Linked DNA regions of Cricetulus griseus. The protein of the gene in region 2 interacts with the protein of the main gene of each other region in a biochemical or structural test. Links are inferred from orthologs where the notes say so. Each region holds a gene or a part of one and is shown on either strand. Other genes may lie near its edges.

What was found.
Region 1: the proteins of Fermt2 (region 2) and Ilk form a complex in vitro, tested with the Homo sapiens proteins (2 studies listed by BioGRID). The link is inferred for Cricetulus griseus from reciprocal best matches to the Homo sapiens genes FERMT2 and ILK.

The regions. Positions count from the first base shown.
Region 1 is NC_048596.1:93,960,164-93,963,767, forward strand, and holds the end of Ilk (integrin-linked protein kinase), read right to left. Parts: intron 3,171-3,604; coding exon 3,005-3,170; intron 2,869-3,004; coding exon 2,773-2,868; intron 2,588-2,772; coding exon 2,491-2,587; intron 2,396-2,490; coding exon 2,312-2,395; intron 2,213-2,311; coding exon 2,127-2,212; intron 1,989-2,126; coding exon 1,879-1,988; intron 1,799-1,878; coding exon 1,671-1,798; intron 1,595-1,670; coding exon 1,473-1,594; intron 1,389-1,472; coding exon 1,289-1,388; intron 1,179-1,288; coding exon 1,048-1,178; intron 875-1,047; coding exon 725-874; 3' UTR 637-724; downstream 1-636. UniProt on the Homo sapiens protein: Scaffold protein which mediates protein-protein interactions during a range of cellular events including focal adhesion assembly, cell adhesion and cell migration.
Region 2 is NW_023276807.1:201,465,925-201,469,746, forward strand, and holds part of Fermt2 (fermitin family homolog 2), read right to left. Parts: intron 1,776-3,822; coding exon 1,668-1,775; intron 1-1,667. UniProt on the Homo sapiens protein: Scaffolding protein that enhances integrin activation mediated by TLN1 and/or TLN2, but activates integrins only weakly by itself. Binds to membranes enriched in phosphoinositides.

The DNA.
Region 1 (3,604 bases), on a different chromosome or scaffold from region 2:
TATATGTCTCATTACTCCACCCCCACCCCCACTTTTCTCTCTAGAATTCGGCTCATCTCACTTGCTGCCCAGAAATTCATCTCAGATATTGCCAACGATGCCCTACAGCACTGCAAAATGAAGGGTACAGCCTCTGGCAGCTCCCGGAGCAAGAGCAAGGTGTGAAAGGCGGCTCACCTTCCACAGCAGTACAGGCTTAACTTATCCTGAAACCCCTTTGGGAAGCAGCATCCTAGGGGCGGTATTGGGCCTACTCAGGGTTATCTACGAGGGACTGGAATCTGGGATTACTGTGCTCAGCTGGTGGTCTTCCCTCTTCCCTTAGGACCGCAAGTACACCCTAACCATGGAGGACTTGACCCCTGCCCTCAGTGAATATGGTATCAATGTGAAGAAGCCGCACTACTTCACCTGAGCCACCTAACCCAGATGTATTTGTCTTTCCCTCTGTCCCCACACCAGCCTGTTTTCATAATAAACTTTATTGTGACAGGCAGGGCTTATCCCTCCCATGTTGGGAGACATCATGTGGCAAGTGACAAAGCTCTTGAGCCCAGCCCCTTTTGGGGCTACAGTGGTAGGGATGGGAGCAGGGATGAGCCCCATAACTGGGGTAGTACCATGATTGGAGACGGGAGGCAACCAGAGGCCTTCAGCTTTGGGGAAGTACACTCCCCCAACCTTGTTTTGACACCTCTGGAGTCTGGGCCAGGACCTTCCAGTCCTACTTGTCTTGCATCTTCTCCAGGATAGGCACAATCATGTCAAACTTGGGTCGCTTTGCAGGATCTTCATTCATACAAATCTTCATGAGCTTACACACGTGTGGGGAAATACCTGGTGGAATTGTAGGCCGAAGGCCTTCCAGTGCCACCTGGAAATTACAAGGAACAAGGTGAACTTCAGAGTTGGAGTTAATCATATGGTAAAAAAACTTTTGACCCTTCAATGGGATTACTATAAATCTGCACAAATTGTGAGAAGAGCTTGCCACAGCAATTGTCAGCACCACTACCCCTATACAAGTATGTGCAGTTCTATGCTCACCTTCATTCCGATCTCCATATTAGAGAGGTCAGCAAAGGGCACCTCTCGTGTCACCAGTTCCCACAGAAGCACTGCAAAGCTCCACATGTCTGCTGAGCGTCTGTTAGTGTCTTCAGGCTTCTTCTGCAGGGCTGGAAGGAAGAGGGCTTACTACTCCAGCTGCCTAGCCTGTCCTATCTCTGCCTCTTCCACTGTTATTGTGTTGGTTCTTCTCAATTCCCAACATGATGCCTTCACCTACCTTCAGGGGCCACCCAGGCAGGTGCATACATGCGCCCTGGGCACTGGAAAGAAAACTTGACATCAGCCATGCTGATTCGAGCAGTCATGTCTTCATCGATCTGAGGAAGAGAAGTTCAAAAAGGTGGGCCCTATTGTAGGCATGCAGAGGGCTTTGGGGACCAGTAGTGAACTTGTGGACTCACCATTACACTACGGCTATTTAGTGCATGTCGAGGTATGAGAGGCTCTAGTGTGTGTAGAAAAGCCATGCCTCTTGCCATGTCCAAAGCAAACTTTACAGCTTGGCTCTGGTCCACAACGAAATCTAACCGGAAGCAAGAATTAATTTAGAGTTTACCACCCCTATTTTAGTCCCTCCCCAACAAGGCCAGTATCCTTACTGGTGCCTTCATGTAGTACATTGTAGAGAGATCCATATGGCATCCAGTGTGTGATAAGGGTTGGGTGGGGAGCTGGTGGAGCCTGGCAAGCTCCTAGCACTGGAAGCACGTTTGGATGTGAGAAAATCCTGGGAGAGGGAGAGAGTGGTGAGACCCAACAGAATTTCCCTTTTCAGTACTATTTGGGCTTCCACTTTTGCTGTCCCACCTGAGCCGGGGACACTCTTCATTGAAGTCCCTGCTTTTCCTTGTACTCCAGTCTCGAACCTTCAGCACCTTCACAACAATGTCATTGCTCTGCCAGCGGCCTTTCCATAGCTGAAGGACAGGTAGAGGTTAGGCGGTATTAGCTCAGGCTATACTATTTCCTTTCTATTAACTGGAAGAAAACCTTAGAGATACAGAGTGGCAGTTTGTGAGTGTTAGAGAGGGAGGGGCAAGAAGGGCAGGGATCACCTCTCCAGAATGATTCTCGTTGAGCTTTGCCAGAAAGTTGAGCTGTTTGAAGTCAATACCGGAGTGTTTGTTCAGGGTCCCATTTCCTGAGAATATGGGTAGGTCAGGTACCCAGCTTCACCCTAACCCACTTCACTAGCCCAGGATCCTGAATTACAGCCCTTCCCCCCACAGCAGTGACTCACGGGGCCGAGTACGAGTGGTCCCCTTCCAGAATGTGTCCTTGTATGGAATACGGTTGAGATTCTGGCCCATCTTCTCTGCCCGTTCTGGGGAGGAAAAACAGTCTTAGCCTTAACTGTGATATAGAGGGAAGAGATGCAAGATAGGACAAGAGGACACAAGCTAGGGGTAGGGAATGGACCTCGGAGAAGCTCTCTAAGGGGTGCCTTGGCTTTGTCAACAGGCATCTCTCCATACTTGTTACAGATGCTGACAAGAGCCCCGTTAGCCACCAGGTCCTGCAAAGAAAAGATAATTTTTATTCAGGGGGAGGGGGGGCTGTTAACTGTGTCACAAGCAAGCACGAACAGAGATGCAGTGTACTGTCCTGTAAGTGTCACACAGTAGGATTGACAGGATGGGTTGATGGTTCCATGCTCAATTTGTTTCCCACTCATCCTAGGACTTAGGTCTGAGTACTTACCTCTGCCACCTGGTCTTGACCCCAGAAACAGGCATAGTGAAGGGGCACATTCCCATGCTCATTCACTGCATTGATGTCAGCCTTGTATTGCAACAGCTGCGCCCCATGGCCAAGAAAAGAAAAGAATATAGTCCCAAATTTAGATAGTACACATTCTCCATGTGACAATAGCTGTTACTGACTTCACAATTGTGTACATGTGAGATGTGGGTGTTGAAGGGTTTGCCCATACCTTCTGTACAATGTCACGGTGTCCATGACTGGCTGCCAGGTGCAGGGGGGTATCATCCCCACGATTCATCACATTGATACGTGCTCCTCTCATGATCAGCATTTCAACCACCGCAGAGCGGCCTTCTCGGCAGGCCCAGTGCAAGGGGGAGAAGCCATGATCATCCCTTTGAGAAAGAGGCATGGAATTGGAGGTTGGGAGGGACAAAAGCTTTGATGGGAGAATTCTATATTCACTGAGAAGGCTTGCCTCTCTAGTACTTAATTTTTACTCATGTCAGCAATTCACAAAGTTCAATTCAGATTTTCCCTTGAGCTTCACACCCAGTCACTCAGATGTCCCAACAACTGTAAGGTTTATTACTTTAATGACCATCTCCTAGATCCTCTTCCCTAGCAGTTCTTCATTAGGTGATAGCACTCTTCTGGGTTCTTTGGCGTCTGCTGCTCCTTGATTGACAGTACTAGGAGTCAAACCCAGGGCCTTGTACATACTTGGCATATGCTATGTATACCACTAAGCTGTATCTTCAGCTCATACATTTTTAGCCACACCTTTAATTCTGTTTCCACTGCTTCTTGTGCCTCTCCTTATTGTAGA
Region 2 (3,822 bases):
ACAGTGACCTTGGGCTGTAACTGAACTTCCTGGTGCGCTGGTGCATTTGGAAGGCCGAGACGCTTTTCTGTTCTGAGTAAAGAAGTGAAATCCTCAGGGTGAGGGCCAGCCTTGCTTCTCCCATTTCTATTTAAAGAATATCAATTGCACTGGGACCTTAGGGAAGACTAGAATCCCATTACAGGCCAGGAATGCTTGCCAAAGCCCCACTCAGGCACACTGACATCTGAAGAGAGTCAGTCTGGTGACAATGGACCTCACTGCTTCTAAGCACACTGATTTGTCTAAAGCCATTCCACTGGAGGGTGGATCAGTAATGGGAATTAATTTTTTAATAAGTAATAATATAATTCTGAAGCATGTGGTATCCAAAGCCCACATGTGGAAAAATATTAGTTTAAAGAAACATTAGCTTTCTGCTTAATAATTAATATTGTAAAAACATTTATGTTTATCCTTGTCTCTTGAACTCTTATTATTTAAAGGTGTTATATCTGCCACCGCCAGTTTGCAATGTGCCTTATCATCAATTTAATATTATTAGCATTTTATTTCTAAGAGAAAACTGAGTTAGCTTCAAGTTACTATACACTGGGGGGAGGGGAAAAGACCAATTTTTCTACAAGATATAGGAAAGTAACCAAACGCACCACTGACTCATATATGTATATATGAATATATATATATATATATATATATATATATATATATATATATATATATGTTTATTTATTATAAGCCAGGTGGTAGTGGTGCACGCCTTTAATTCCAGCACTCAAGAAGCAGAGGCAGGTGGATCTCTGTGAGTTTGAGGCCAGCCTGGTCTACAGAGTGAGTTTCAGGACAGCCTCCAAAGCTAGAGAGAAACCCTGTCTTTTGGGGAGGGGGGTTATTAATTATGTATGCAGTGTTCTGCTGGCATGTATGCCTGCATGCCAGAAGAGGGCACCAGATCTCATTACAGAGGGCTGTGAGCCACCATGTGGTTGCTGGGACTTGAACTCAGGACCTCTGGAAGAGCACCCAGTACTCTTAACCTCTGAGCCATCTCTCCAGCCCCTATTCTTAAATATTTTTAAACAACAAAAAAATAGTCATTAGCTGGGTCGTGGTGGCACACACCTTTCATCCCAGAACTAGGGAGGCAGAGCAGGTGGATCTCTGAGTTTGAGGTCAGTCGGGGATACAGTGAGTTTCAGGACAGCCAAGGCTACAATAGAGAACCCTGTTTAGAACCCCCCCCCCCAAAAAAAAAGAGGGAGAAGAAGAAAATCACGTTTACTTTTGTAAATGTCCACTTTTAATGTTTAAAAATTTTCATCTATTTAGTATGTGCATGCATGTGCCATTCATGTGTGCACATGAAGGTGAGAGGACAGCATTAAAAAAAGAGTCTCACTATGTAGCCCTAGCTACCCCAGACTCACAGAGAACTGCCTGCCTCTGCTTCCCCAGGGCTGGGATTAAAGGCGTGCCATTATGCCCAGCCTCAGCAGATTTTTGGGAGCTGGTCCTCTCCTTCCACCAAGTAGGTACTAGATATCAAACTTGAGTTACCATGCTTGGTAGCAAGCATCTGCTTGCTGGGCCATCTTGCCAGCCCCACGTGCCACTTTAACACCACTCTCCCCTTCCCTGCTAAGAATCATCCACTCTGTCTTCCTTACCTGCAAGGCTGCAAACATCATCATTTCTTCTTCAGTGCATTCAATCTCTTCCAGGAGAAGAGCCCACTTGGCCTGCTCGTAAAGCTGATTGATTCTGATAGCATCATACTGCCGAAGGAAGGAAACACGGGCTTTAACAAACAGTCTTCAATACCAGAAAGTTCTCAATGGGAACTATTCATTTCTGAGGCTGGAGAGATGGCTCAGCAGTTAAGAGTGCTACTGTAGAGGAACAGAGTTCAGTTCCTAGCACCCATGTAAGACGGCTCATAATTGTCTGTAATTACAGCTCCTAAGGGGTTCTGCTATCTATGGCCTCTGTGGGCACCTGAACTCACATACACCTAAATCTTAATAGTAAGTCTCTAAATAAAATTGTTTTATCTTATGAGTGTTTTGCTCCTGTGCACATGTGTACACTGCATGCATGCCTGGTGTCTGTTTGGTCCCCTGGAACTGGAGTTACGGATGCTTGTAAGCTACTGAGAGGGTGCTGAGAAGTAAACCCGGGTCCTCTGCAAGAGCTCTTCTTAACCAGTGACCCACCTCTCTAGCACCCCCTCCCCACCTTTTCCGCATAGCCTTAGTTGGTCTGCAACTTTCTGTTTACACTAACAAGTCTTCAATTCAGAGATCCTCCTGCCTCTGCCTCCTGGGTGTTGCCATTAAAAGCCTGCACCACAACACCCAGCTAAATACTCATGTTTAAAGCACGACAAAAAGTGAATAAAATTACATATTCATTATCAAATGGTTAATTCTAAAAAAGGAAGAGATCTATTAGTGTCAGATATGACTATAGATACATCTAATTTTCTATTCAAAATGACATAAAATGACAAGAAAATACTCAGGGATGTAGCTCAGTAGGTGGAAGGGGTTGCCTGACATGAGAGAGGATTTGATCCCTCGCACTGAAGGAAAAAAGGGGGTTGGTTCATGTAACAACTCAGTGTTACAGTTTCAGTCTAAGAAGTCTAACTTGAAGGAAGACATGGTGGTCCATGACTGCTGTGCTGGCACTGGGAAAGCTAACGCAGGGGATCCTTCATTTCTAGGCCAACTAGGCTGCCCAGCGAGGTCCTGTCTCAAAACAAAGCCCACAAAACTGGGTACTGACACAGTGTTGTAATCAGCACCCAGAGTCTGAGGGATCAGAAGTCTGAGGCCAGCCTGGGTTTCATACTAAGTTCCAAGCAGCCTATGCAGAATGGATGGATTCTGTCTCAAAGTGCAGGCAGTGGAGAAAGAGGGAGGAGAGAGGAAAATGAGAAATCTAGTTGAAAATAATTAAAATAAGGTACAAATACAGATTTTAACACTGTTATTCTAACTTGCCACAACAGAACCCAGTATGAGAGCAAATTAATTACTTTGGGAAATACCTCACTCACAGAGGAGAAATACCAAAGAGATAGGCCCTGGGAGGAGGGGCTATTTTAAATATCCAAAACAGACAGTACAGACACACTTTTGGCAAGTATATGTATCTATGTCATGAGACTGTCCATTTAATTATATTAGCAAAAAGCAACGTTCTCTTAAAATGCTAACCAAACATTCTAATCCCCAACCTACAACTAAAAGCAGATACGATATGGCCTGAAAATACAACATTTATAGTTCTATTACATGCAGTTTGCTGTATCTATGTTATATAAAGAATTATTTGAGCACACAATGAAAGATAGGACACTAGATCAGTTGTTCTCAACCTGTAGGTCCTGATCCCTTTGGGGTTTGAATAACCCTTTCACAGGGATGGCCCACAACCATCAGAAAATGGATATTTATATTATGATTCATAACAGTATCAAAATTAGTTATGAAGTAGCAATGAAAATAATTTTATGGTTGGGGGTTGCCACAACATGAGGAACTGTATTGAAGGGTCACAGCATTGGAAGGTTGAGAACCACTGCTCTAGATAGAGTAAGTACCATTCAGACATGAAGGCGACAGCAGGGAGCCAGGACAGGCCCTCTCCCCTAAAGAGGCAAACCTCTGTGCCCATCACTGGGGAGAAACAACGACAGACTTTCACTGTGTTAAATTGTAGAGGAAAAGTGAAGTTATAGCAGAGCAGACTCACCAGTCACAGAAACTAAGTAACAATGGTTAGCTATCAGATAAAATAAAATGTAGACTATAAAAC